4 linked regions of the Tamandua tetradactyla genome follow. The protein of the gene in region 4 purifies or fractionates together with the protein of the main gene of each other region. This does not show direct contact. Links are inferred from orthologs where the notes say so. Each region holds a gene or a part of one and is shown on either strand. Other genes may lie near its edges.

Region 1 (7,831 bases), on a different chromosome or scaffold from region 4:
TTTGATGCCTTGTATTTCTTTTTCTTGTCTAATTGCTCTGGCAAGAACTTCCAACACAATGTTGAATAACAGTGGTGATAGCGGACATCCTTGTCTTGGTCCTGATCTTAGGGGGAAAGTTTTCAGTTTTCCCCATTGAGGACGATATTAGCTGTGGGTTTTTCATATATTCCCTCTATTATTTTAAGGAAATTCCCTTGTATTCCTATGCTTTGAAGTGTTTTCAACAGGAAAGGATGTTGAATTTTGTCAAATGCCTTCTCTGCATCAATTGAGATGATCATGTGATTTTTCTGCCTTGATTTGTTGATACGGTGTATTACATTAATTGATTTTCTTATGTTGAACCATCCTTGCATACCTGGGATGAATCCTACTTGGTCATGATGTATAATTCTTTTAATATGTTGCTGGATTTGATTTGCTAGAATTTTGTTGAAGATTTTTGCATCTATATTCATTAGTTACTGTTTTAGTTACTCTTACTGATAATCTTTCTTTCTATGCTTTCCTCAAAATGTCTCTCTCCTATCTTTTCTTTTCAGCCTGAAGAACTCCCTTTAGTATTTTTTGTAGTGCAGGTCTCTTGTTTACAAACTCTCTCAGTTTGTTTTTATCTGTGAATATTTTAAACTCTCCCTCAAGGACAGTTTTGCTGGATAAAGAATCCTTAATTGCGTTTTTTTTCTTTCAGTATCTTAACGTATCATGCTGCTGCTTTCTCATCACCATAGTTTCTGATGAGAAATCAGAACCTGGTCTTATCGAGCATTCCTTTTATGTGATGAATCGCTTTTCTCTTGTTGCTTTCTGAATTCTCTCTTTGGCAATGGACAGTTTGATTAGTATGTGTCATGGGGTATCTCTGTTTGGATTATTGTTTGGAATATGTTGCTCTTCTTGGATATGTAGATTTATGTCTTTCATAGAAATTGGGAAGTTTTTGGCCATTATTTCCTCAAATGTTCTTTCTGTTCCTTCTCCTTTCCATTCTTCTTGGATAACCGAGAGGCATATATTTTTGCATTTTGCACTGTTTTTCAATTCATTGATAATCCCTACTCAAATTTTCCTGTTCTTTCCTTTATTTGTTCTTTTGTTGGATTTTGAATGTCCTGTCTTTTAGCTTGCTGATCCCTTCTTCTGCCTGTTCAAATCTGTTCTCATATGCCTCTAGTGAAGTTTTAATCCCATCTATTGCACCTCTCATTCCCATAATTTCTATTATGTTTCTTTTGGTACTTTCAAGTACTTCTTTATGCTCACCCAGTGTCTTCTTAATATCCTTTTTCTCTTTAGCCATATTTTCTTCATCTCCTTGAATTAATTTAAGAGGTTTCTTTTAACGTCTTTGATTAGTTGTTCCAAATTATATATCTCCTCTGACTTTTAAAATGTGTTCCTTTGCCTAGGCCAACTCTTTCTGTTTCTTGGTATGGCCTGTAATTTCTTGCTGATATCTGGGCATCTGATTATGTTGATAAGATTATTCTGAAGGTTGGTTTCTCTTTCTTGGCTAAGAATTTGTTGTTGACTGGGTTAGTGTTAAGGTAATTCTTTGCCAGTTATTTTGTCAGTATTTCACAGCCCATACAGGGTCAGGGACCCATACTAGGGACCCACTCCAGTTCCACAGTTCCCTGGGTAATGGCTCAGGAATGATGCCAAAAAAGCTCTTTATTCAGCTCTCCAAAGTTGTGCTTTACTGGCCTGCCCAGCAGATGACTCTTTCCAGCAACTATTCCTGCAACCCTAGGAAAACAAGGTATTTTGGGACCTCTTGATTCCACCTCTGACACTAGTCAAAACAATGGCACAGCATCACCTGTTTGGGATGGACTAAAGCAATGGGACCCAGCTGTCTAAATTCATGAGGCAATAGCTGCATCAGTACTGAGCCATGTCCCCTTTTGTTGTTTGGGAAGAGGACTTCTGCAGCCATCCTATTCTGCAGCAGCCTACTAGGTAGGAATCAGGCTGACTCAATGCTCCTGGCTTAAACTGTGTGGGCTGGGCACCAGAAGCCATGGCAGCCTGAGTTACTCACAGTTTTCATAACTTTCTCTCTCTCAGTAGGACCCTTTGATGAGGTCACTTCAGTTAAGGTATAGCCCAACTCAATCTGGATGGATCTTAATCCTATCACTAGAGCCCTTTATAAGGACAGTGAAATTCAAACAGTTAGAGAATAAGCCACTGGAGGCAAGAAGCTGAAGGTCAGTGTAACCCAGAAGAGAAGGGAGAGGCCAGGAGAGGCCACCATGTGCACTGCCATGTGGCAGAGGAGTCCAGGACCAAGAATCACTTGGCAGCAGCCAAGCTCAGAACCCCATAATCTCCAGGGAGAAAGCTTCACCTTCACTATGCCTTGATTTGGGCTTTTTCCTAGTCTCAAAACCATGAGCTAATAAATTCCTATTGCTTAAGCCAACCCATCGCATGGTATTTGCTTAAGAAGCCAAGAAAACTTAAAACTCCCAGCAATTCCACTGCTAGGTACTTACTCTAAAGAACTGAAATCATGGACTTGAAGCGAGAATTGTACATCAATGTTTATCATGGTGTTATTCACAATGGCCAAAATGTGGAACAAACCTAAATGTCCATCAGCAGATGAATGGATAAACAAAATGTGGCATATCCATACAGTGGAATCTTTTTCTGTCATTAGTATAAATGAAGTGCTGATGCATACTACATAACATGGATGAACCTTGAAGACATGTTGAGCGAAATAAGCCAGACACAGACGGGCAAATCTAGCATGATTTCTCTGATATGAAATTCTTACAATATTTAAATTCATAGAGACAGAAAGCAAGGCAGTGGTTACTTGTGTGGTGGTGATGGAGGATGGGGAGTTATTGCTAAATGAGAAGGAGTTTTTGTCTGGGATGACCAAAATAGTCTGGAGACAGATAGTGGTGGAACTTACAAACTGTTGTCAAAGAATTGTCCATTTAAAATGTTTAAAATGATTGTTATATTATTATATGGCCACAATTGTGTATATTACCACAATTTTTTTAAACCTTTTTTTTTTTTAAAAAAAGGATACTAAGTGACAAAGATGGGATTTGAACTCAGGCAGGCTGGTGCCCACATCCCCCTAAAGAATACCTGTATGTCTGCTACTTAACTTTATCAGTCCTAAGTGTTTTGCCACAGTTGAAGCTCCCATACATACTTTCCTCACCTCATTCCCACCCACTTTTCCTATAGGTAATCTCTATCCTGATTGATGTTTATCATTTCCATGAATTTCTTTATGATTTTTTAAAGGTGTGCATATCCATATATAATATATAATATTGTCTTGTGTATTTTTGAACTTTATTTAAATGATAGCACACAGTGTTATAGTTATGGGACATTTAATTGCTTCCCTGGTTCTTGTACACATTTGAATTTGTGACCCAATATATTTAGTCACTGTATAATGAAGGAATTTGGAGTCAGAACACCTGACTTAAACAGCCATTTAACGGGTGGCCCATGATGGCAGAGTTCTCATGTGCCATGCCAAAGACCTGGGTTCATTTCCCAGTGCCTGCCCATGTGAAAAAAAAAAAGCCATTTAACAACCCAGGCACAAAATTTAAGTAGACAGCCTCCTTACCTGTAAAAAGGTAATGGCGAGTTCAACCTGATAGATTGATTGATTTGTGAACATCCAATGCAAAAAGTGGTGTAAATCTTTCGTAAAATACTGACTGTGTTGGACAAATGCTGATTAAGGATACCAGCTCATTCTTGGACCTAGCCTTTATTAATGCTGGCTCGCCAATCATTTCACAGGGTAAGCTATGCCCCTTCCCACCCCAGTCAGCTAATGTGCAGGCAAAGCAAGAACACAAAACACTTTGGAGGAGGTGGGGTGTGGTGCCTTCACCCTGCTAGGCAGGCCGATGGGGAATGCAGTTAGGACTGCCCTGGCTCTTGGTTAAAATATTTAATGACAGCTGTTGGGAATTGTGTCACACCCTACTATGTTTATTTTTATTTATAAGAGTCCACCTCGTTTTATTCGTTACTGAGAGGCACAAATTCCTCTTAGACTCATCTGATTTCACTTGAGCTGCTTCTGATACCAATCAAACCCGGGGATCTCTGCCCGAGGTGCCTCACAGCCGATCTATGACACTGGGTTTCAAAGGGAGAAAGAGTTTACTGCAAAGCGAAGCCAGGAGAACAGATATGGCCCGTGGGCCCAGACTCTCTCTCCCCTTCCAAGGAGTCAAACAGTGTTTTGATGGATTCACCCAAGGGGAGGTGGAGTTACTATTACGATTTACAAATGTAAAGGAGTGGAACCAGGCTGGACCTAAGCTAGACTAACCATTACCATAACAAGTATGAACCCCGCAGTTAGTTCAGGGCTGCCTCAAGTTTCTTCCTTAACATCAGGGGGTTGTCTTTGTGATAAGTGTCTAAATTTGTAAAACAGGGTAAGGGGTTACAGCAGGGCCAGTCAAGAGGTTTTTACAGTTCGAAATTTAGTGGATTTCAGTAACTGACTATTCTACAACATACCAGAAGGTAAGAAAAAGGCGTCTGTATAACGATTCAGTCATCATTTTTTGTTAAATCTTAATATCTCGGTTAGATTCCTACTGAGGTGCCTTTTGTCCAACCCAACCCATTTTAAGCCGTCAATAAAACCTGCTGTTTAGCATGCGGATGTTATTATTGCTCAAAAAATAAAGAACCCGTGTCATTCTACCACGCCGGGTAGGCGGGGTAAGGAGGGCGCTCTGATTTTTACGCAGGCACCGCGCTGGGCGCCCGCGCGCTTGGGGGCGGAGCCGCCGGTGGACCCGATGGACCCCGGCGGGGCTGCCATTTTGGCGCCTTCCCTGAGGCGCTCCTACCGGCCTCTGGTGCCGCCGCCGCTGCCGCCGTTAGCGGCGGCTCTGTGTGCCAGGATGAACGTGATAGACCACGTCCGGGACATGGCAGCCGCGGGACTGCACTCCAACGTGCGGCTCCTCAGCAGCTTGCTACTTACAATGAGTAACAACAACCCGTGAGTCGAGGCGGGGAGTGGTCTGGGGCTGAGGAGAAAGCGGCGCGGGTTTGGGAGCCGGGGCTGCGGGGGTCTGGGGTCGGGCGGGACGGATGGGGACCGCGGGCCCCGATCGAGGGTGCAGGGTCAGCGAGGGCCTCGTCGCACGGAGCCGGCTGCGGGGCGCGAGCTGTTTACTAGGCGCCTGCGTTGCGCCCGGCTTTGGGATGTTGCGAGCGGCGGCGGCTCGGAGGATGGGAGGCAGGAGGTGCTGAGAACCTCTTGAGGGTCCGGCGCCCCAGACCTTGGGCGCCGGAGTTTTCCAAGGCACCTGGCGCTGAGCGGAGCGGCTGTCGCGTCGCTGGATTGAATCCCCCTCTCCCGGCTCCTTCACAGAAAATGTTTTCCCTCTCTCGCCGCAGCTCAGATTGGCCCAGCCTCCCGGATTGTATACACTCGCTCCCAAGTAAGATGGATGTATTCCCTCGGGTGTATCTGGAGGGTCCACTTTGTCGCCTCGGCATGCCCCCGAATACGGAACACTCCCTGGGTGGGTGGGCGTGGCGCCTCTTTGACTTGCACGAGATGCCATAGCCTGGCCCTTTCCGGGTTTTCCGAGCTTCCTTTTGTGGAATCTCAGTAAGGAAGAACCAAAGGTCCAGAGAGTCTTTCTCTGACCACCAGCGTAACCTCTGCTGTATCTCATTGCCCTGTTTTATTTTCTGCATGGCTTTTACCGCCTAATGAAGTTATTTATTTCATTTGCATCTGCCTCTCCTGCTAGACAGCAAGGACCATGAGGACAGGTGCCTCATCCGTTTTGTTCACTGCTATAGTCCCCATCACCCAACAGGGTGCCTGGGGGGCAGTGATCGCATACATGTTTATTGTACGTCATAAGAAGTGGGTTCAACCTAGTACCTTGTCGAATTTCACACATCTGGAAAGTGGAGGAGCCAGGACTGGACCTTGGGCCCCTCTGACTCTAGAGTCTATCTGTTCTGACCCACCCCAGACTAAAAGGCATTGTACTGAATCTTCTGTGCAGTGTGGATTCCCTGCAGTTGGCATGCTCCAGAAGCTGTTTAGGTCAGCAAGGAAAGGCCCTAAGTGCATGCAGTGCAGACACTGCTCCCCATTTCATTCCCGTTAGTGTAATTTGGACCTCACTATGTGAGACTCATAATTTTGCCAGCCGCTTAGAGTTGACAGTGAGGAGGCCTGGTCTCTGTCAGGCTTCTGTGTTTATTTTGGAGCCTTTCATTTGGTTTCCAGTGATTTTCCAAGGCATTTGGTTTCACCATTGAGGATTTATGCAACATTCCGTCAATACTCTAAGTTCTTAAAGATGTTACAGGATACTCTGAAGCAGTTTGGTCCTCTGGCTAGACTAAGTTTACATAGCCCAGGCTGTGTGTCATACTGGGGACCAATAGTTTTCTAGTTTCAGGAGGTGTTTTAGGTTCTGACCTTTATCATTTGCATTTTAAATTAACTTATTGAATATGTAATACACATACTGCTAAAAAAATTTTTTTTAAAAGATACAAATAGTGCAGAAGGGATTTGCAGGTAATTGTCTGTCCCTGAACCATTTCCCTTCTCTAGAGGCAACAGCAATTGAGTTTCTCATGTATTAGTCTAGAGATAATCTCTGCATGTATATGTAGGCATGTATGTTACATTATATAAAAATCTAAATGAAATTCTTGTATGTAGTAATATTTTGTTCTTTATCCGAGGTCTTTATTTTTCACTAAATATATAGAATCTCAGAGTTAGTTAAGTCATCTGGTCTGTACTTTTTGGTCCGTGAATTTCCTTTGTAACTTTCTTTTTTTATTAATTTTTTATTTTTTTATTATGATCATTCCATTCTACATATATAGTCAGTAATTCATAATATCATCACATAGTTACACATTCATCATCATGATCATTTCTTAGAATATTTGCATCAGTTCAGAAAAAGAAATAAAAAGACAACAGAAAAAAATTCATACATACCATACTCCTTACCCCTCCCTTTCATTCATCACTAGTATTTCAAACTAAATTTATTTTAACATTTGTTCCCCCTAATTATTTTTATTCCATATGTTCTACTTGTCTGTTGACAAGGTAGATAAAAGGAGCATCAGGCACAAGGTTTTCACAATCACACAGTCACATTGTGAAAGCTCTATCATTATACAATCATCATCAAGAAACATGGCTACTGGAACACAGCTCTACATTTTCAGGCAGTTCCCTCTCCAGCCTCTCCATTACATCTTGACTAACAAGGTGATATCTGTTTAATGCGTAAGAATAACCTCTCTAGACTCTGTTTGGAATCTCTCAGCCATTGACAGTTTATTTTGTCTCATTTCACTCTTTCCTCTTTTGGTTAAGAAGGTTTTCTCAATCCCTTAATGCTGAGTTCCAGCTCCTTCTAGGATTTCTGTCCCACGTTGCCGGGAAGGTCCACACCCCTGGGAGTCATGTCCCACGTACACAGGGGAAGGGTGGTGAGTTTGCTTGTTCTGTTGGCTGGATAGAGAGGCCACATCTGAGCAGCAAAAGAGGTTCTCTTGGGGGGTGACTGTTAGACCTAATTTTAAGTAGGCTTGATCTATCCTTTGTGGGGTTAAGTTTCATATGAACAAGCCCCAAGATTGGGGGCTCAGCCTTTTGCTTTGGCTGTCCACACTGCTTGTGAGAATATCAAGAATTCAACTTGGGAAAGTTGAATTTTCCCCCTTTCTCACCATTCCTTTGAAAATACTTTTTATATTCACTGTTCAAATCACTCTGAGATTTATGGGGCATCGCTCTGGACAAACC
Region 2 (7,254 bases), on a different chromosome or scaffold from region 4:
CTGACTCAGGCAGCAGTGACCCTAATGCAGGGTACATGAATGACAGACACATGGGTTGTGTGGGAGGCATATCCCCCTCCATGTGAACACAGCCACACACATGGGATTAGACATGGGACCAGTACATGACACAGCATGATGCAAACCACCAGTGTACATGTTCACTGGCATGAGGACATGGCCCACAGACCATCCCATGCACAAGGCTGCCACCTCCTAGGCCATGTTCTCTCCACCTGGGAACAGTGCGCTCATTCTGCTGGCTGCTGGTGCTCATGCCCACTCTAGGCTGGAGCTCTGGAGACAACACTTTTAACACTGTGTGCCACAGGGACCTTGGGAACGGCGAGAAGCAAACAGGTCCACACACTAGGAGCCCAGCTCCTCTGTGGACTGAGGGCGCCCTGGGGCAAGCTGCAGGCCTACGAGCAGACAGCGGACACCAAGGCTCTGCCTCCCTCAGCAAAGGGTGACCTTGCCACCACGCCATTCTGCCCCAGACCCCGCCCCCGCAGTGACTCTGCTCTCCTTCCCTGCCCTGCAAGGAACGCTCAGCCCATGGAGGCATGCAGGCTGGTCGTAGGGGCCTTGTCAGGGATGGAAGTGGAGCCCACAAAGAGGAGGCAGCAAGGTCAAGAAGCAAGTGGATTCCCCACTCCTGCCCTTGGCACTGCCCCTGCCATGCAGCTCTGCGTAGACCTTGGACACTGTCACCAGAACAGACCCAGAAGATCTGGCCTCTACCTGGCAAGAGGGATGGGTTTCAGTGGCCAATGAAGTGCTTTCTGGCAGGGCCAGTCCTGGTGGAGGCACGGACAATGGGCACCTCACCTTGTGAAACTCCCGCAGGAATGAGCGCTCGTACTCGCCCCGGCAGCGATCCTCCATCCTTTCCCGTGTCACCTGATGCAGAGTGCTGGTCACTGCCTCCGCACTGACCCGTTCCAACAAACTGAGCCTGTGTCTGGAAGGCAGAGTAGTGGGTATACTTGGCGCATGTCTGGCCCGGGAACCCAGGACGGCCCCGCATGTGGAGCACAGTGCACACCTGCCACCCATGCAGGGAGAGCTCCCACTGCCGCCTCAAAGGGCAGTTGTACCAAGGGCTTCAAGGAAAAGCTGCTGGGAAGGCAGAACCCTGGGAAGCAGCTGCACACCCCACCCAGACAGCATCCTCTATCCAGCAGCAGTAAGTGTGGCTCCTGGGGCCAAGCTTCATTTACTAGGAGTGCCTCTGGAACAGCAGCCAACAGTACCCTGCCAGGTGAACCTAAGTACTTTTCAGTGCAGACCCTGATCTAAGTGACAGGTGGCCCAAAGGGAAGATGAGAAAGAGCATTTACACCCTTCAGGGCCTCCTCCCTTGGTCCAGCTGAGATGCTATCTCCCAAACGGTTGCAGTGCTGCCACTTCACTCAACGTGACAATATCACCACAGGCAGGCCGGGGAGACCGAGACAGTTGCTAGAGGGCTCATGTAATAGGATCTGGCTCTAACAAAAAAAAAAGTACTCTTCTCTCAAAGTACAGGGAAAGAAGTCCGCTTGCCTGTCATGCTGGTCCAATCTCCCCACAAAAGGAAATAGCCAGTCTGCTGTTCACAGCCACTGCAGTAAAAACTAGGTACTCCCATGAATACAAACACTGTTCCTCCTTTACAGAGCTTACAACTGGCCAAGGAGAATTCTGGGCAACGCAGGAAGTTTGGGCTCCTGCAGATAAGAGCCATGTGGGGTGGTAGTGGAGAAGACATCCGGTATTGGGTTGAGTGTGAGCAGTGTGAAAGACACACCTCTGGGTCCAGAAGAAAAGGTGTATCTTACTGCCCAGAGATGCCAGGAAAGCAGGTAGAGCCCTCAATCAGCTCTCTGCAGAGACCTATCAAAGAAATAATGTGGACTCAGGAGGACCGGGGGAGGATACAGCCATCCCAGGGGTACTCACAGGACTTGGCTGAGCTGCTGGAACTGCTCTAGAGCCTGGCGGCACCAGCACTGCTGCTTATCACTGCCGCACCCAGCACACAGCGGGCTCTGCAGAAGCCGGTAGTATCGGCGGCGGGCATAGCGGCTGTCCAACTCCCCCTCCAGTTCCGGGTCTGTGCCTCCTTCCCCCTTCCTTTTACTCTGCATATAGACTCGCAGGTAGCGCCCATAGAGGCGCTGAATCATATCCTGAAAGGTTCTAGGAGTGGAAAAAAAGAGGACACCCCGCACCATGGTGTGGACCTTTTCCCGTAGCCCCTGAGCACCAGTGCCCATCAGCAGACCCAGGCGAGTCCATTTCTCCAGGAGTTCGAGGCTCCTTAGGTAGGGGTGCAGGCGGCTCTCCAGCAGGCCGAAAGCGTCAAGAAGCAGCAAAAGGCACTGGGGCTCGTCGGCAGAGTTCTCGCGTTGGGAGACGGCATTCCAGAACTCCGGAGAGATGTTGGCCTGCAGGTCGTTCTGCAGCACTTCTACGAACCACTCCTCCAGAACCGAGTGCAAACCGTGGCCCCTTAGCACCTCCACCGCCGCCCGGAGCTCCTCTTCCTTCGGCGGGACCGCACCGCTGGTCCGGGAGGACGCCTAAAGTGCAGAAAACCGCGAAAAGAGGAACAAGGCGAAAAGCGGGGAAGGGCGGCAGCGGCAGGGGAGAAGCGGGGAAGGGAGCGGAGCGGGGAAAGGCTGTGGAAACCCCGCCGCCCCTTGTCGGCAGCGCACGGATGTCCGGCAGTCGCCAGGCATGGGCTGCCAAGGGCGCCGAACGCGGCAGAACTGTGGGGGAAGGAGGGAGGACGGCGGTGGGCGAGGCTGGAAGCCCTAGAGAGCGACAGGTTCCCAGGAACCCCAGGTGGGCCCGTGAGTGTGTTCCCGAGCCTCACCAAGCCCAGCGCCGCCGGTGGCACTAGCCCGACGCTCATGGTGTCCCAGGCCACCAACAGCTCCGGTCCAGGCCCGGGTTCGCAGGCCGTCTCCTCCCCTGTCGCAGCCATCTGCGTCCACCGGCTCCAGGTCGGCCCTGCGCGGCGCGCGGCGATGACGCTCGGGAGGGGGCGCGCGGCGATGACGCTCGGGAGGGGGCGCGCGGCGATGACGCTCGGACAGGCGCGGCGCGCGGCGATGACGCTCGGGAGGGGGTGCGACGTCCGTCACACTGGCGGGCGCCGGCCTTGGCGGCGGTAGCGGCAGTTGACTTGGCGGGGAATCGGGCGGCGTGCGACGACCATGACCCAGCAGGGAGCGGCGCTGCAGAACTACAACAACGAGCTGGTCAAGTGTGAGCGCCCGTCCTGCGGCCCCGCCCGCCTGGGTGTCCCGCCGGTGCCGGGCGGGGGAGGCGAGGGCCCTCGTGGGTGGGGTGCGTGGCGGCTTTAGCTTTGGGCGAGCCCCCGGTATCCTCCGTCCTGGGTGTCTGGCCGGTGGAGCGGGCCTGGGCCGGGGCTGACGCGGGGGCCTTCTTAGATCAGAGTCGCCGTTGGATTTAAGCTGATGAACGCGGTTGGGACCGGTGGGCCTGTTTAGTGAGTAAAATAGAGGAGTGCCTGGAGCGCTTACTGGCTCCTAGGCACGCCGTCCACAGCTCTTTGTGCAGTGACTTGTTTAACCCCGAAACCCTGCTAGGAAGTTCCTTGGACCTTACTTGGAGGGACGATGATGCCGCCAGGCCTCACTTTAGACTAGCCTTCCACCCACCACAATTTGGAAGGATGGGCTCTCGAGTTTGGGGGATCGAGTGACTTCCTACCCTGAGCCCCCACCAGTGCCTCCTTCCCACCCCTGCTCTAGGCATCGAGGAGCTGTGCCAGAAACGGGAAGAGTTGTGCCGGCAGATCCAGCAGGAGGAGGAGGAGAAGCAGCGGCTGCAGAATGAGGTGAGGCAGCTGACTGAGAAACTAGCCCGGGTCAACGAGAACCTGGCCCGCAAGATTGCCTCTCGCAACGAGTTTGACCGGACCATCGCAGAGACAGAGGCTGCCTATCTCAAGGTGGGGCTCCGGGGGGAGGGGGGGGACCCAGGGGGCTGCAGGCTGGGCTGAGGGCTGATACTGGCAAGCCTTGGACGTTCTGGAGAAGTGTGGCTTGGGGTTCCCACCAGCAGCAGCTTCAGTTCCTGTCGCTTGGACTCTGGGGCAGAGCATCAGGAGCACACAGCTATGGGCAGGGAGCCTCTGGGACTGGGGCACCTGGACCAGTATGGAGCCGCAGTGTTGTGGCCCTGTTCTTGGCTCCATACTTATTACTCAGTCCGTTTTGTTCAGTGCAAGGGACAGAACTTCCAGAGTACAGCTGCAGTCAAAACTAAGTCTGCCTGGCTCTGCAGGCTGGGGAAGAACAAGCTTTGGGCCGGACACAGGACGTGCCTGGCCCTCAGGAGCTTTATCCCGGTGGCTCTGCCTGCCCCCCTGCCAGCGCGCGTCCCCTGCAGCACCTCTGGGTTGGTATGCTGCTTGCCGTGAGTGTGAGGTGGGCTGCGGAACCTTCCTACTCTGAGGAGCAGTGACAAACCTTTTGTTCTTCTGGCCTCAGATCCTGGAGAGCTCACAGACTCTGCTTAGCATCCTGAAGAGAGAAGCTGGGAATCTGACCAAGGCCACAGCATCAGACCAGAAGAGCAGTGGAGGCAAGGATAGTTGATGAGGCCACTGGTGGCCTGCCTCCCGCCCCACGCCGACATGGCCCCCAGGAGATCTGTTCACAAAGTGTCTGCCCTTGGCAGCAGTAACTGCCGCCCTCCATTGCCCTGGATGGAAAGAATGCCCACGAGCTGCCCATGCAGATGGGGAGGGCCTGGCTTAAGCTCATGGCGAGCTGCAGGGAGGGCTCCAGGTGGCTCTGCATGGGGCCCTCTCTGAGGCCTTCACCTTCTTGAACTGCTGAGGAGCCCAGGGTCTAGTCCCAGAGCCCCAGGAGTCTTCCCCTTGCCCTCCTCAGCCAACAGAGGCCCCAACCAGGCCAGTGTGGGAGGGTGCCAGGGCTTCAGAACCCAGATTTTAGAGCTCAGACCTTATGCCCAGCAACTGTGAATAAAGGTTTTCTTTGCAAAGTTGGGTATCAGCCTACTGTTCATGTCCTGGGTTGTGTGTAGGTTTTACCAAGAGGAGAGCCTGGAGTGGCTTTCCCATCATAGGATCCTCTCACCTCAGGGGTGCAGACCAGACCCACTTTTGCCCACCCTGCCCAGATCAGCCCCAGTCCCTGCTGCCCCATGTAGGGCCACATGTCCTCCCCCTCAACCCTAGCACACTGGAGTAGTTCTGTGAGGTCTCTGATTACTGCCCAGTGCTTTTTTTCTTTTTTAGCACGGGTAGGCACTGGCAATCAAACCCAAGTCTCTAGCATGGCAGGTGAGAATTCTGCCTGCTGAGCCACTGTGGCTCACCCTGCCCAGTGCTTTTAGACCTGGTATCTATAGCGAGACTTTGCAACTTGTTTGAAGTTGTAACGGCCAAACAATTGCACGTCAGCCCCTAACCAGGCACAGGTGCCTCTGGACCCTATACTCAAGCTTCTGCCAGAGTCTGACATCATCCCCCATCACCACATACTGGGTGCCACCCACTTTTCTTCCATGTGAAGGGACCTGGCCTCTAGTATGAGGCTCCTCCATGCCCCCATGTAGTCGTGTAACAGCCTCATGAGGCTGCAGCAACCAAGGGCCTGGGGGACTGGGCAGATTTGGAAGTGTATGTTGACCAAAAAGGTCGCAAGAAAGCTGGCCCCACTGATTCTGAGAACATGGCAAAACCATCTCTCCTTCCCAAGCCTGGACTGATGACCTTTCTCCTGGGTTTGACTCCTGAAAAGGCATGAACATTCATACCCAAAGCCTGAGCAGGATTTGTCTATGGATTTGTAAATGGCTGCAACTCAGCAGGCACATGCACAGCTGAGAGGATGTTTAAGGGGCCACCAGCCCAGCAAAGCTCCCCATCTAGAGCAGGCAGCCCTGGCTCCCCCCAGCACCTGTCAGAATCCACTGAGTTTGCCTGCCTGCCTGCTTCACCCCCCCAAGCCCAGGTGAGAGGAGATTCCTGAGGCCCTAGCATGCTCTTGCCCTCTGCAGCACCCACTCAGCCTTGTCTTGGTCCTCAGGTCCTCCCCAGCTCTTTGCTCTGAACCCATGAGGGAGCTGTTCTTATGCATCCCATCCAGCACCCACCACATGCATCTGAGGTCTCAGCCCCATCACAGAATTCCAGAGCTCAGGTCTTAGCCAGCCCTGGGAGAGGCTGCCGGATGGGAGTGGGCTGCTTCCCCAAAGGGCCTCCAGGGCCTCTGACCCCCAGAGTAGCACACAGGACAGGTGCCCACCCCCACCCCACCCCAGGCAAAGGCGTGAGGGAGGGGAGACCTGGGTTTGGGGATAGGGGTGAGGGTCTGGGCACGTAGACTCCTTGCTGTTCTCTGGCCTCTTCCTCCAGCAACAGCACTTCAAAGATCCCAGCCCTGCCCTCTACCACTCCCCCGCCACGTCCCGCAGCTTTTAGGCCAGGCAGCAGACCATCCAGAGAAGAGAGGCAGCCTTGTCCAGTGCTGTTTATTGGGTCCATTCGTCAGACAGAACAGACTCGGCTAGGGGAGGTGGGCAGTTGGTGGGGGCGGGGAGCCCGGGCTTAGTAGGCTCCTGCCTTGTTCCAAACAGGGCCACTGTCCTGCAGGACTCCTGGCCCTCCCCCTTGGGCAGTGCCCACTCTGCTGTACTTTGGAGCCCACCCACAGAGAATGACACCCAGTCAGGCCCTGTCTTTCCGTCCTGGCATGTCCTGCAGCCCAGAACGGGAGGTGGGGTATTGTGGGGCAGTGAGGCGTGGCCTGGCCCATGGGGCACCTCAGGGGCTTGGCCTGCCCGTCTTGGCTGTGCAGATGTCAGAAGTACAGGGCTGGCTCGCTGCGGAAGTCCGAGAGGTCACTCTGACTGGCGGGTGTGAGCTGCCAAAGAGATGGACAAGTGGGTGTCCTGGGACTCATCCAGGCCCCAGAAACACCCTCGCTGCCTGACGGCCCCCTACTCACCATGATCTCCTTTGGGAGCGGCTCCCCTTCACTCAGAGCTGGCTCTGGCATCTGCTCAGGCCACTTGCTGAAGGCCACGGAATGCTTTGGAGTGTAGCTGGACAGGCCTGTGGGGAGGCCACTTGTGTGGACATGCAGCCCAGGCACACGGCCCTGGGCAGGGCCCTCGGGGGGCACTCACCTGAGCTGCTGTCGGGCAGCCAAGCGCCCTCGGGGCCCACGCTGTTCACGAACTTGGCCCGGGGCAGAAAGAGCCCAA
Region 3 (7,093 bases), on a different chromosome or scaffold from region 4:
TTGCTGGAATCACTTGTTTAATTGCCCATTTTCCCATATAGCCTATAGGTCTTTGTGACTAAATGTTGGAGTTAAAAGAAAAAGAGTGATTTCTGGTTTGTTCAATGGAGAGGATGATAATCCTTTAAACTGGGATAGGAAATATTTCAGGTATAGGAAATGAGGCATTCCATACTGAACAAGGTACCTGTGAGAGATCCAGATAGAGACAGTTGGCAGCTAAGCATTTGGGTCTGGAACTCTAAGAAGCAACCTGGCCAGAGATACAGATTTTTTTAACAACTTGCAGATGAGAAACTGAGACCACAAGAATGGGTGGGTTTGCCTAAGCAGAAGGCGTAAGGTGAGAGGAAGGCCTAGAACAGATTCCTGAAGCACTTCAAAGATTATACCTAGCAGAGCTGCTGTAAAGGAAGCTAGCAATCAACAGTAAACTAAAGGGAAAAAAAAGCAAGAGGCCTTTTTTTTTTATGTTGACAAGAAGCTAAAGGAAAGGGTAAATTGACTAGGAGAAAGGAACAAACATGGGGTAAAAAAAAAAAGGAAAAAAAGCCTCTAAGTCAGTTAAGATAAGGAGAATGTAAAGTAGCATACAGCAGGGACAAAATGAAGGGGACGACAAGGAGGAAAGACGGAATTGACAGGAAAAGCACACTTACTCTGGGCTACATTTCAGTGGAACCTGCATTTTGCCAATGAAACCATATATAGCTTCTTCAATAGTTCCCTAAGTATTGGCCTCCAAATCTGATTGAACATGATGGACCAGGAGGCAGGATAAGCAGAAGAAATAATTTACCATTTTTGGAATAATGTTTACTGCAACCCAATTTCACTCACCAGCTAAACATATGTGGATAATGGATAAGAGTAGGTTGTCAAAGTGTTTACTGGGTGGTGATTAATCAGGACAGAGAAGGAAGTAAAAATGCTATAAAAGAATTTATCAAAGCACAATTTCAATGTGGCCTTGCTATGGATGATTAGAAAATAACAACAGATATATTAGCATGAAAATGGTCAAAAAAAAAAAAAAGATTCTTGGCCCATGGTGGCTCAGCAGGCAGAGTTCCCACCTGCCATGCCAGAGACCCAGGTTCGTTTCTTGCCTGCCCATGCAAAAAAAAAAAAAAAGATTCTCATTTTTAGGGGAAAAAGGGCTGTAGGCAAATTCTAAGCTTAAAAGCCAAAGTGCCAAGCATAACAGACTCCTTAAATGCTGGCTCTAGAGGCACGTTTACATGTAAATAATTATCTTTATGTATCCTGTGGGTAAATTCTTACATTCAGATTTACCAAAAAAAACTATTGCACAAGTACAAGACTTGGGTTGGCAGCAGGTTGCATGAAAATGAGCTGGGTTTGTAAAATGATCACAAGCTTAGCATAAGAAAACAGTGTGCGGTGGTTGCAAACAAATGCAAAGACAACTTTAGTCTACTTAAAAGAAGTATCCAGATACTAAAAATAACAGTTATATTGCATCCCGAATTGATTAGAACAAATCTAGAGTATTGTATGCAGTTAAAAGGGTCAAATTTTAAAAGTGATATTCTTATCCATTACTTTCTTTCCATTCCTAATGACCAGGTTCTCTCATCTCATACCTCTGACGGTAGATTGTTTCCAAAGAAGGTCCAAAAGTCCCTTCCATCTCACATGTCTTTTGCTGTGCCTTTTTTGCCACTCTTCCTATCAAGAGTTGGGTTCTCCTCCTGGTGAATGCAGGCTGATCTTGTGTCTTACTTAAACCAACAAGTGATGAGGTTTAACTTATAGTCCTAGGCCTTGAGGGGCCTCACAGCTTCCATTTTGACCTCTTGGTTGCCAGCCACTAAATCAAGAAGCTGAGGGTACTTCTGACTGATGAAAGGTCAATGTGGAAAGAGAAGTATGTGCAACGAATTGAGCCAGCCAACACTAACACCAAGACCCCATACATGTGAGTGAAGTCATCTTGGATCTTCCAGTCCCAGTAAAGACACCCCAACTGTCACTACATGAAGCAAAGAAGAGCCTTCCCATTGGGCTCTCTCTGAATCCCTGACCCACAGAATCATGAGCAATAAAATGGTTATGGTTATAAGGCACTAAGTGTTGGGGTAATTTATTCTGTAACAACAGACAACTGAAACACCTCGATTACTAATTATTCTCCACGACATAGCATGGGGTTAGTAAGAAATGTGAAGCCAGATTTCCTGGATTTGAATCCATTTGTGTGACTGTGGTAAGTTATTTAACCTCAGTTTCCTCATCTATAAAATAAGAGAACTACCTGTGCTGGCTAATTGGGGATACACAGGTAGTTTAGGGGTAAAATTCTTGTCTGCTATGTGGGAGACTTAAGTTCAATTTCCAGCCCATGCACCCAAAGAAAATTTTTAAAGGAAAAGTTAATCAATCAAAAAACCTACCTAGAACTGTGCTTGACACAAAGTAAGGCTCAAGAAATTTTAATTAATATCATTAGTCCAGTGCTGTCTGAAAGAATTGTCTGTGATGGTAATGTTCTTTACTGGTGCTGGCCAATATGATGGCCCCTAGCCACATATGTCTATTGAGTACTTGGAATGTAACTAGGGTGACTTAAGAACTTAATTTTTAATTTTAATTAATTAAACTTTAAATAGCTAGCTGTTAATAGCTACCATATTGGACAGTTAAGAAGTTTATTTCCACTGTAATTCATCCAGTATAATCTTACTAAAAGAAGAGGGCACAGGACAGCAGAAAATCACCTTTTGCAGGAGTACAAGTGCATGAGCAGTGACTAAAGAGGCTGGCTGGTAGAGAAAGAGGTACCTATGTCAGTTGGTATGAAAAAGAATAAAAAAGGCATTTCTCCAACCTCACCAAAAGGAAGGGAGTAACCCACTCTAACTTGATTTCCTCTGCATAAAAATGTGGGAACCAGAAAGGGGAATTTTCCACACAATACCTTGAGTCCCATATCTAGCCTAAAGAGGCCCTGACTAGAAAATTAACCTTTAAAAACTGTTTTCATCATCTGCTGAAAAACAAAAACAAAATTTTAGTAGTTCCCTAGCTCACTCATTTTTTTACTTGGCAGGAAGGAAATTTGAGAGACATGTGCTGAGCACAGCCACATACGTTACTGCATTTCATTATTTTAATCTTTTTTTTTTTCCAGTCTAAGCAAATAGAAGTGAAAAGGGATTGTTGCTGAAGAACCTAAAACCGGATAGTGCCAGAATTGAAATTCAAAATCAGGCCTTTTTCCAATAGACGAGAATTCCTCTCCTATCAAGAATAAAAATTTCTACCTGCCTTCTGAGATTCTTTCATAATTTGGTCACCTAGATAACTACTTCAAGTTAATGTCTTAATTCTTACCAGCCTGATCTTTCTGCTTCCTTTCCTTTGGCTTAATTTTACCTATCTTTCAAGGCCCAATTTAAATGTCCTTTTTTTCCCTCCAAGAAACCTTCTTTATCTTCAATCCCAATTAATTTATCTCTCTTAATTTTTACATCACTTATAATGGGAATCACGTAATGTAGCACTCTTTGTCACACTGCTTTTCCTTTAAATAGATCGTAATCTCCTTGAAGACAAGGGCCCAACTAAATCATCCGGCACGACAATCCTTTCGAATTTCCTCTGATTTCCTCTAGAACCGTGAGAAAGTAGCTAAATGACGAAAACTCAACAGACAAATACGTCTTGATTAAGGTCAGCCTCGAACTCTAGTGTTTTACCCTTTGCTTAAACCACCGAGCACCAATTATTCCACAAAGGTTAACTGACCAGCGAATCCAAACATCACCGCAGCCACGTAACGCTCCGTCCCGCCACGCCCAGCCTGCCGGTTGCCGCTTGGGCGTGGCCCGCCTGCTGGAGGCCGATTGGGCGTGGCATGCGTGGGTGAAGGCGTTGCTGAGAAGGGGAATTTACACTCTCAGTTACACTCGGTAGTTTCCGATAATCCTCGACAATTTCCGGTAACGGTCTCCCTCCCCGCCACTTCACTTCGGGTATTTCCGGCTCCTTTCGGGCCTTTCCGTCTGGCTCCCGCTCGGCCATCTCCACTTCGGGTATTTCCGTGTCCCGCTCGGAGATATTCGGCAATCGCTCGGCCTCCCCCATCCCCCGGTAACGGTCGCTGGTGAGTTTAAATGAGCCGGGGCTGGCCGGGGCTGGCCGGCCCGAGCCGCTACGGGGGGTGGGGGCTGAGGCACTGCAGAAAGTGGGCCTGAGCCTCAAGGATGACGGTGCTGCAGGAACCCGTCCAGGTAAAGATAAACCCCCCTCTCTGAGGCTTGGCTCGCAGCCTCAGTCGGGAAGCGGCGTATGGCCACTCCGCGGCCTGGTGCGGCCTAGGCCGGGTTGCTTCTCCCGCCTCTCCTTATGCCGGGTTCTGCCTACCTTTTCGTCAGTTCAGCTGCCTTGCCCGCAACCTAAGGGTGTTCCCTCTGGCCCTACATTACTTCTACCCCCATTCTGGTCGATTCGGTGATAATACCTCCTTGCCCTTCCGTGCCAGCGTTCGGCCAGCCCCTCCTGTCAGTCTAGGGGCCTGGCCTCTACTAGGGCGAGACATGAACGGCCGAAAACTCGCCCCAGGTGCTCTCCTGTCGAAAGGATGATGGAGAAACATGTTGGATCAGAGCTAGTATGATCTCCCTAATGGTGGAGCAAGTTTGCGGGATTGTGCTTCATTTTATGTGAGACGGTGAAGGGAAGGTAGTATGGGTATTTTTAACACTTATTATTTCTGTTTTAGTAACTGACTTTCTAGCCTCTGTTGCTTTTCTCGATTAGTGAATTTCTTACTGGACAATGGTCCGAGAAGAGAAGTCCAAGGCCCAGTGCTGAGGTGCAGAGCATCTATTGAAACGGGAGGAGAGTGAAAACGGCCAATCTGTTTTTTATCCCTTGCCTGTCATGGGGGTCAGGAATATTTTACTGTGCGTGTTTATAAACTTTTTGGGAAGCAGAAAGACAAATAATGGTTTTTCCATCCATTTTACTGTGCCCATCACACCAAGGTATTCTTTGACGCACGGTGCTCTATCTGTATGGAAGAAACCCCATTGGATTTTAAGTGTGTGATGCAGTGCCAAGTCATTTCCACCCCCCACCCCCCGCCATCGGAAGAAATGGAATCTTTTGTCCTTTAATTATTGACCAGGTTTGGGGAGCTTTCATGCCAAGATCTTTGACTTGATTGAAGAGTTGACTTCTATCACCTGCTGTCATTGAGTCTTGGACTTTCCTTATTTTGAAGTTAGAAAGCAAACCGATTTTACACAGATTACTTCATATTGCTCTTAATAGGCCTGCGATAGCTAATAATAACTATTTCAATACATTACTACTTCCATATTTCCTTAATTTTCTTCACAGCCTAAACTACTCATTTCTCCTAGTTTGACTTCTCCAGGTCTTAACACGTTGCAACTCCTTAGTGTTTGAGTTAATGTAACGTGGGATTCTTTCTCAGCAAAGTTATTTCTTTACAAGTTGTGCCAGTGCTTCCAAAGGTATTTCTTTCCATCCACATTTGTCTTACCAGTAGAGAGTCTCTTAAGATTTTTTGAGGCCTAACAGGAAATGAAGTTACTAACTGTACCTTCTTAAGTGGATAAACATATTATTCAAGTTGCTTAATTTCTGTTTTATATCTTGTAATTTTGTCTTAATAATTAATACTTTTGCTCTGTCTGGCCCTGAAAGGCTTCTAAAGTGATAAACTAGTTTCATTGTTAGCATATGACACGATTTAATAATAGTTCCAACCTTTATAAAAGCAGGGACAAGAAAAATATGTAGGTTATTTCTAGATAGTGCCCGTCAGTTTTCCTCTTTTCCTTAGAATACTCTTTGCAGTTAATGCACTTAGATATCTCTTAAAGCTTAAAAGCTGAGTATGTCTTTTTTTTTTACCCGTCACTAGCTTTGTCCATTAGATTTTGGGTTGGTAAGAAGTTTTAGGATATGGAGCAGTGGGAAGAGCAAGCAACTTTGGTTAAAGTGATAAAAACCAATGGATCAGGGATAGTGCTGAAAATGGGAAAGAATTAGTGAGGAAAAAAGTAGGACAGATGAATATGATGCTGTCTATATTTTAATAAACTAGGGTAACCGATTGCATGTAATGGGTAAAGGGTGAGAGTAGGTTGGGAAATTACTTTGTTCCTTTCTTGGGATGCCTTAGAGTTCATAGTATTAACCAGCATTGGAAAAAGTTGAAAGATGACCAACTGTTATTCTGCTTTTCTTTTTTTTTCATTAAAGGTTTAACAAGGAATAGCCAGTCTGATAAACCACATATGCACATAATCGTAACTATAAGGGCATTGCCCCTCCCCAAATTTCCTTTCATACCAAATGTATTACTTTGTATTTGTATATTTACAAAAATCTCATTTTGAGGCAGAAGTTCTGTTGATTATTTTATTTTTAATATTAACTTTTTGAGGAAGACACGCTGGCCTAAATGACTATACTCAGAGCTAGTTGGATCTTTATAAAAGTTTCCTGATGAACTCAGTCTTTAAAAAAGAGGCAAAAATGTTTATGTAAGTTAAACCATTGTTCTTAGAAGTAGGACCTAACAGTTGGATGTGTTGGATAAAGTTGTAAACAAGCTTTTTAAAACTCAATTTTAATAAGCAATATAGTTAAGTGGGTACTATATACGCAGTATCGCTGTAAGATCACTAGATAGTGAAGGACTACTTTTGGCTTGGAATTGTGTCTTGTGATAGCACTTAACATGGATTCAAAGATTACCATATTTCAGATAACTTAGAATTGGAGGTAGTATACTCTGGAAAATTGTGTTAAATGACCAAAAAAAGTGGCTGTAGTGATGACGACAATACTGATGTCAAAGATGTATGTGAACAGTTTGGGTGAAATTCTTATAAGCAGTAAGAGTAGAAAAAAATGAAATTACTAAATATATTTTGTAATTTAAAAATATGTGTGATTAAATTAATAGGTATTGACTATTTGATTACATACCAAAAATTTGTATATTCTAATTGGCTAGAACCTTATATTTAGGATTACCATATATTTTAGATACAATAGAGTATCTTGAAGACAGTGCTGCCTAAGATCT
Region 4 (7,710 bases):
ACGGTGGCTCAGCAGGCAGAGTTCTCACCTGCCATGCCAGAGACCCGGATTCGATTCCCAGTGCCTGCCCATGCAAAAATAAATAAATAAAAACTATCATTCAATTGACAAAAGATAGAGTAAACAAGAAAAAAAACTGATGAAATACAAAATAAAATGAACTTTTTATTTTCCTATCATTACCTTCACTACACATTAAATTATATACCCAGTTGCTAATCATCGTGATAGATGATTTCATCTTTTCTGTTATAGTTTTTTAAGTGTAAAAACAGTTAATCAAATGCTAAAATTTAAATAACTCACCTGTTGAACAGGACTGTCAACGGTAAATGCCTTATAAACTGCCAGTGCCTGGCTTTTACTCCCTTTGCTCCAGATCACCATATTTCCAGCCACATAGAGCTCCTCGTCATAGTCCACTTCTTCTCCTATCTCACTTACGCCTTTCCTCAGCTGCCAGCTTTCCTTAAAAATTCACACACACAGGACATGTTCAAGCACCCTTCTTTTCAAGGTAAAAAGATCTGAGTGTTTACAAATGAGAAATTTAACACTTAGTCAAAGCCACCAAAACTATTCTACCACTTACGTGACACTTTTTATGCTTCTCTAGAAGCATGCAAATCTTCTGCAACAGGGATCATACCTAATCTCTACCATTTAATACTTAACATGAAATGTGGTCCCTACACACTACGTGAAGAAGAGGTTTAAAATGGATCTCAACCACACTGAACTTAATATAAAAACAACGAGTTTTACAGCATGTCAAAATAGGTAACTATGACACCATAATACAGTAAAGTCATCATTTTAGCCTTGACTAAACTAGTCAAGCCCTAATCTTTACCCTCAAATTAGCATTATATTCATTTTTCAGTTTCATCTGGGTAGTCTTAAATTATTTTCAAAAACATAACGGGAAACTTAATGGAACCTTCTGCTTCTCGTGGATTGTAACCTCCTGAAGGGATCCCACCAAGCCAGCAGCACCATCGGAAGACCACAACTCAGAGGCGGGCTGCAGTTGGCGAAGCTGAAGGTTCAGTGCATTAGGGTGGTGCTTGCAGTGGTCTCGACCGAAAGGAACAAATTCCTGCAAATCCCTGGCTGCAATCATCGCTGCCCTTTCTTCATAGAAGTTCGACATGGGTTCCAAATATCAACATTATTTCTGTATGAATTCAAATACATTTTGGTCAGTTTCTTGAGTCAAAATAGAGCAAAAAAAATACCATAAAAAAGTTTACAGAAGAGATGTAAATGAGCTGTAGGTCAAAACACTCCTCTCTACCTCCCAAACATTTCTACATAGTGATTAACAGCTAGTAGAATTCTGACACTATATAATGTGGTATGCAAGCTGAGTGTCAATCCCATCTCCAACATCTATGTTGAAAACAGAATTTGTGGTCTCACATTTAAGTTGTAATCCTCAAATACAGAGATCAAAACAAACACTTGATGCCAGCTCTGGAGACAAACTTTAGAGTATTTGAAACAGCTCACAGAATTAAAAGGGTTTGATTAGATTTGACCTCAATTTCTCACCTGAGGTCTTTCTGGCATCAGTTTTCTGTGTCACATAGATACCTCAAATCCTATGGATTTCCTTAAGAGCCACGAAGTTTTATTTTTCTGTGAATCAAATGTTATTTCTGAGATAACTGTAATCACCAAACATGACACAAGTTCCTTTATTCCCCCTGCTAGCAAAAGGTGTTGTGGAAGCTTGAACAGATGTAACTAAAAAAGTGCCTTGTAAAACGTACAAGAAAACAACAGAATTCAACAGGTCTCCCTTTACTATTTAAAGAGATAACATAATTTTATCCAAGTTTATTCTTAAAATTTTGTGAAAAGAAAAATATTTTTCACAGTACATTTTTTGTACCGATTAAGACAACAAATATACTTTTACGGTACTCCAAACTTTCACAAAGAAGTTTTTACTTGACTTAGAGGCAACACAAAGAGTTATACATAAAGCACTATACTAAACTGATATGCCATCAATCAAGACTATCAGCATTGCCTATCAGGAACGAAAACTAACCTGCCCGAGGTAAGCACAACGCCTCTTCAGAGCGACCCAAATGACTATAAACTCAGGCACTACTGTAAACACGTTTACTCCGTATATATACACACCGTACTCGGTACACACACGGTATATTAACACCAAGAACTACACACGTCCTATATGTGGCAAATACTAAAGAGTCAACTAGAGATTTCCAAAGTAGAGTATTTTTATTTTAAAATCAGAAGATCAATTGGAAGAAGGAATAGAGAACAGGCTTAGAAATTCCTTTCCAGTAAGCTTCTAGCCCACAAGGTCTAGCAAACACCCAAACCCAACGCAAGACGAGTCCCGCCTGCCACGCCGGGACTCCGGGCTCGGCTCCCGGGCTGCCCATGCAAACAAAGTAAAACTGAACGGGAGACACCGAAGGCACCGCGGGCGGCGTCTCTGCAAAACGGCCGTGCGCTCCCGCAGTCCTTTCAGGAGGCCGCGAAGGCAACAGGCTAAGGGCCCGGCCCTCGGCAAATCCGTCCGGAGAGGACAGCGGCCAGTCTAGCAGCCGAGGCCACGCGGGGAACCCCGCGGTTAGCTCGGGAAGGACGGCGAGGGCCGCACACCCCTAAGGGCTCGCCTGCAACGCCCCAGCCCTCCGGTGCGCACAGCCTCGGGGTGCGGAGGGCCGGGGGGCGCGCCATGGACCACCCGGAGCTGCAGGCCCGCACCTGTGGGACACCGGACGCGTCAGGCGCAGCGAGCCGCGGCTGCTCCCCGGGGCCTGAAGGCAGCGGCGGGGACTGTTACGGTGACTCCTCGGTCGCCACAGCTGCTCATCCCCTCTCCCTCCCCGACTCCGGAGAAATAATGACCAGCAGCAGCAGGCGCGACTGCCAATAGCAAACAAGCTGGAGAATGCAGCGCTCAAGTCAGAAGCTCAGGTGGACGCGACCATCTTGTCTTTCCCGTCCTGCCACGCGCTGGCGCGGGGCACGGCGGGAGGTGCGCGGAGCATCGCGGGAGGTGCGCGGAGCTCGGCGGCCGTGGCGCCTGCGCAGTTTGGGTGCTCCTCGAGCGCGCCCCCACGACCCGGGCCTGCGCGGACGCGGAGTTAGGAGGGTCTCCGCCCTTCCGGACGCTCGTGCAGCCGCAGCCTTTGGCGCCAGGGTCCCTTGAGGAGTGGGCGAAGGGCGTGGGGCCGTCCCGGCGGCGTCCGCAGCCTCTGCCCCGGCGTCGCCCGCGCAGTGTCGCGTCCCGGGAAGCAGAAGAGGCCCCTGCGCGCCACTCGCCTCGCCTCGCCGGCGGCCTGGGCCGGGACGGCGGAGCGCCTGCCCCGGCCGGGAGCGAAGGGCACCTTCTCCGCCCGGACTCGTCCAGCTGGCCGGACCCTGCCTTCCTGCGGCCGCCTGCCCGGATTCCCGCTCGCCGCGCACCGGCCCTGCGGTCGGGCCCATCCCTGGCTCTCGCTCCGCCGTCGTCCGCCGGGCTTTGGTCCACGTGCCTCGTCGGCTGGAAGGCGCCCCTGGCCCGGACCTGGGCAGACTCGCCCACATTGTTTATTCGGTTTTCCCTCCTGCCTTTTCCGGCTTCCGATTACACAGTGTGTTTAGTGTCGAGGATGCTTAGGCCCCTCTGGTTTTTGATGACCTGGTGGTTTTGACGTATAATGGACAAGAGTTTTGTAGAGTGTCCATCAGTTGGCATTTGTCTGATGTATTTCTCAGATTAGGCTGGGCGATGGGTTGCAGGGGGGAGACCACGGAGGTACAGTGCCCTCCTCATCGTCACACCCGCTGTTGGTGCTGACCTTGATGACAGCTGGGTGGTGTTTCTCAGGTTTCTCCACTGTAAGATTACCCCCTCTTTACATACCGTACACCCTGGAAGGAAAACAGTATGTGCAGCCCACACATAAAGAATGGCATCAATTGATGTTTTGTTAAAAGTTGCATAAGCAATTCAATGGAGAGAGGACAAGGCTTTTCCAGCCATTGGTGTTGGAGGTATTGGGCATCCATAAGCAAAAAGAAATCTTGATTCATACTTCATACCATATAGAAAAAGTAACAGAATGGACATAGACCTAAATAAAGGAGCTGAAACTATGAAATGCTTAGAAGGAAATATAGGAGTAAATATTGGATTAAGCCATGATTTTTTAGGTATGACACCTAAAGCCCAAGCAACCAAAATAGAAATCAATAAATGGGACTTCATCAAAATATAAAACTTGTAATTAACACCATGGAATTGTATATTTAAAAACAGATAAAATGGGAAATTTTAGGTTGTGTAAGTTACCAAGAAAAAAAACAACATAGAACCGTACAACACAAAGAGTGAACCCCAATGTACATATGGACTATAGTTAATCATATAATAATATTGTTATATCAATTGTTTAAAATTAAAAACAGGAGCAATTAAGCTACAGATCAATCAGTACTCTTCAGATAACCCATTGGCTCACACGACTGAAAGGGCGGAGACAATCTTCAAGGGCAGCTGGATTCAGGGCTCAAATCATGTTATCAGAACCTGTGTTCTTCTATCTCCAAAGGTTGCATGGCCACCTCCTGCTGCATCTGATTCATTGTCGGGTTATGCATGATGGCTTTAAGCATCTGCATGGACACATCAGCCCAACACCAAACCCAGTGGGAAAGAGAACTTCCCCCAGAGCACAAAAACAAGTCCAAAACCTGAGCTTTCCTAGCGTGGTTGGCCCAGTTGAGGTCACGTGCCCATCTGTGACTCAGTCAGGGGCTGGGAAGGAGAGGCTCTGACTGACTGATTCTAAATCATAATCACTAAGTCCAGAAATGGAATCAGATTCCTCGTGGACTGAGAAGGGGGTTGAGGTGGACCCACAAAATGAAATTTAGGTATTGTTACCATGAGAAGCAGAGTAGATGGTAGACAGAAATGGCAACACATGTCCACCACAAGCAGAAAGCAAAGTATCCCAACCAAGAAGATTTTTTTGTGTCTAAAGAAACTTGGAAATGAAACAAAGCACCGTCCTGAAATTGCTGGCTGTTGCAGCGCTCTGGGCCACAGATCTAACTGATTCTCTGAAAGCATCTTTTATGTTCTGAAACAATTGAAATCAAAGCTGAAAGCTGGTGTATTAGTTAGGGTTCTCTAGAGAAACACAATGAACAGAGAACACTTGCAAATATAAAATTTATAAAAGTGTCTCACGTGACCGCGGGAATGCAGAGACCAAAATTCGCAGGGCAGGTTGTGAAGCTGATGATTCTGATGGAGGGTCTGGACGAACTCCCCAGGAGAGGCTTGCCGGCAGAAGCAGGAAGAGAGCCTGTCTCTTTTGAATCCTCTTTAAAAGGCTTCCAGTGATTAGATTAAGCATCACTCATTGCAGAAGACACTCTCCTTTGGCTGATTACAAATGGAATCAGCTGTGGATGCAGCTGACGTGGTCATGATCTAATTCTATGAAATGTCATTGCAACAGACAGGCCAGCACTTGCCCAACCAGACAAACAGGTACCACAACTTGACCAAGTTGACACATGAACCTGACCATGACAGTCCACCCCTTGTCAACTTGGCAGCTATATATATTACTTTAAACCATACCCAATTCCCAAATAAAAACAATAAAACACACATTTTTTCTTTTACCTAACAATACTCAACTGTCCTGCATATAACTGGAAACACATTAAATCTCTCCAGAATAGGGCTCAAATCCTTGGGCAACATTCATTCTTAAACTTGATGTTTTACAACTTAAATAGTATAACATGAACAAAACAGCATTACAGTCCTCATTTCTGTAACTGATCACGTGGTCAAAGTTCATATTTATCACTACCTTCTTCCACTACCCATTCCATGTTCCCTTTACCCTCAGCAAGCACTTCAGCTGGCTGTGGTTCTTTGCCTGGTGGGGTGACCCAAACCTTCATTCCTGAAATTTCAGAGCCATTGGTAGTCCTACCTGGATTGGGTTGTTGCAGTTTTGCATTGATTTTAATCACAGAGCATGATGGTACTAAAAGATGCCCTAGGGGGATCTCCTATATTCTAAGAAAACTCTTCTTTACCCCCGTTACATAGTTGCAGTCCTATTTCCCCCTGATAGTCAGGATCAATCACCCCAGACAATAATGCAGTCTCCTTCTTGGCTTGTTGATCCAGTGACATAAGTAGCCCAAAGTGACCAGGTGGCAGTCTTAACTTCCAGTTCAATGGAATCATCGTTGTTTCTCCTGGAGGAAGCACTCCCCATTTTGGAACTAAAACCTGTAGACCAGCAGAGCTCAGGGTCACAGGGACAGGAAGCAAAAATTTTCCTAGTGCATCACTAGGGGTGATAGTGAGTGGTACCACTCCCATTTCCACCCCTTGGTTCCCGGACCCATGGATCCTGGCTATGGGAGAAACAGCACCATACAGCAGATATCTGACTCAGAGCATATACAGCTTCCTAGAGAACATTACCCCAGCCTTTCAAGGTATTGCCACCTAGTTGGCACTGTAATTGAGTTTTCAAAAGGCCATTCCACCGTTCTGTCAATCCAACTGCTTCTGGATGATGGGGAATATGGTAAGACCAGAGAATTCCATGAGCATGTGCCCATTCCCGCACTTCATTTGCTGTGAAGTGTGTTCCCTGTTCAGAAGCAATGCTGTGTGGAATACCATGACGATGGATAAGGCATTCTGTAAGCCCACAGATGGTAGTTTTGGCAGAAGCATTGTGTGCAGGGAAAGGAAATTCATATCTAGGGTATGTGTCTATTCCAGTTAGAACAAGTAGCTGCCCCTTCCATGAAGGGAGTGGTCCAATGTAATCAACCTGCCACCATATAGCTGGCTGGTCACTCGGGGAATGGTGCCATATCGGGGTCTGAATGTGGGTCTCTGTTCCTGGCAGATTGGGCACTCAGCAGTGGCTGTAGCCAGGTCAGCCTTGGTGAGTGGAAGTCCATGTTGCTGAGCCCATGCAAAACCTCAATCACTACCACCATGACCACTTTGTTCATGAGCCCATTGGGCAATGACAGGAGTTGCTGGGGAAAGAGGCTGACTGGTATCCACAGAACGGGTCATCTTATCCACTTGATTATTAAAATCTTCCTCTGCTGAAGTCACCCTCTGGTGTGCATTCACATGGGACACAAATATGTTCATGTTTTTAGCCAACTCAGAAAGGTCTATCCACATACTTCTTCCCCAGACCTCTTTGTCACCAATTTTCCAATTATGGTCTTTCCAAGTCCCTGACCATACAGCCAAACCATTACAACAGCCCATGAGTCAGTATACAAACACACCTCTGGCCAGTTCTCCTTCCAAGAAAAATGAACAACCAGATGCACTGCTCAGAGTTCTGCCCACTGGGAGAATTTCCCCTCACCACTGTCCTTCAAGGACACCCCAGAAAAGGGTTGTAATGCTGCAGCTATCCACTTTTGGGTGGTACCTGCATATCGTGCTGAACCATCTGTAAACCAGGCCCGAATTTTCTCTTCCTCAGTCAATTCACTGTAAGGAACTCCCCAAGAGGCCATAGCTCTGGTCTGGGAAAGAGAAGGTGATGTGGCAGGAGTGGAGACCATGGGCATTTGGGCCACTTCCTCATGTAACTTACTTGTGCCTTCAGTACCTGCTCTGGCTCTATCTCATATATACCATTTCCATTTTACAATAGAGTG

The links.
Region 1: the proteins of ANAPC1 (region 4) and ANAPC7 fractionate together in Homo sapiens (co-fractionation; 6 studies listed by BioGRID and IntAct, with this or other methods). This does not show direct contact. The link is inferred for Tamandua tetradactyla from reciprocal best matches to the Homo sapiens genes ANAPC1 and ANAPC7.
Region 2: the proteins of ANAPC1 (region 4) and ANAPC2 fractionate together in Homo sapiens (co-fractionation; 8 studies listed by BioGRID and IntAct, with this or other methods). This does not show direct contact. The link is inferred for Tamandua tetradactyla from reciprocal best matches to the Homo sapiens genes ANAPC1 and ANAPC2.
Region 3: the proteins of ANAPC1 (region 4) and CDC27 purify together in Homo sapiens (affinity purification with mass spectrometry; 16 studies listed by BioGRID and IntAct, with this or other methods). This does not show direct contact. The link is inferred for Tamandua tetradactyla from reciprocal best matches to the Homo sapiens genes ANAPC1 and CDC27.

Annotation. Positions count from the first base shown.
Region 1 is NC_135331.1:11,114,616-11,122,446, reverse strand, and holds the start of ANAPC7 (anaphase-promoting complex subunit 7), read left to right. Parts: upstream 1-4,814; 5' UTR 4,815-4,820; coding exon 4,821-5,026; intron 5,027-7,831. UniProt on the Homo sapiens protein: Component of the anaphase promoting complex/cyclosome (APC/C), a cell cycle-regulated E3 ubiquitin ligase that controls progression through mitosis and the G1 phase of the cell cycle.
Region 2 is NC_135328.1:130,760,689-130,767,942, reverse strand, and holds the start of ANAPC2 (anaphase-promoting complex subunit 2), read right to left. Parts: upstream 3,018-7,254; 5' UTR 2,975-3,017; coding exon 2,864-2,974; intron 2,568-2,863; coding exon 1,945-2,567; intron 965-1,944; coding exon 832-964; intron 1-831. Other genes in the region: microtubule nucleation factor SSNA1, read left to right, coding at 3,207-3,258, 3,768-3,967, 4,303-4,416, 4,509-4,616; TPRN (taperin), read right to left, coding at 6,849-6,911, 6,996-7,102, 7,177-7,254. UniProt on the Homo sapiens protein: Together with the RING-H2 protein ANAPC11, constitutes the catalytic component of the anaphase promoting complex/cyclosome (APC/C), a cell cycle-regulated E3 ubiquitin ligase that controls progression through mitosis and the G1 phase of the cell cycle.
Region 3 is NC_135332.1:20,307,444-20,314,536, forward strand, and holds the start of CDC27 (cell division cycle protein 27 homolog), read left to right. Parts: upstream 1-4,076; 5' UTR 4,077-4,229; coding exon 4,230-4,256; intron 4,257-4,389; exon of another isoform or gene 4,390-4,513; intron 4,514-7,093. UniProt on the Homo sapiens protein: Component of the anaphase promoting complex/cyclosome (APC/C), a cell cycle-regulated E3 ubiquitin ligase that controls progression through mitosis and the G1 phase of the cell cycle.
Region 4 is NC_135343.1:1,056,384-1,064,093, reverse strand, and holds the start of ANAPC1 (anaphase-promoting complex subunit 1), read right to left. Parts: upstream 3,008-7,710; 5' UTR 2,752-3,007; intron 1,178-2,751; 5' UTR 1,154-1,177; coding exon 941-1,153; intron 469-940; coding exon 307-468; intron 1-306. UniProt on the Homo sapiens protein: Component of the anaphase promoting complex/cyclosome (APC/C), a cell cycle-regulated E3 ubiquitin ligase that controls progression through mitosis and the G1 phase of the cell cycle.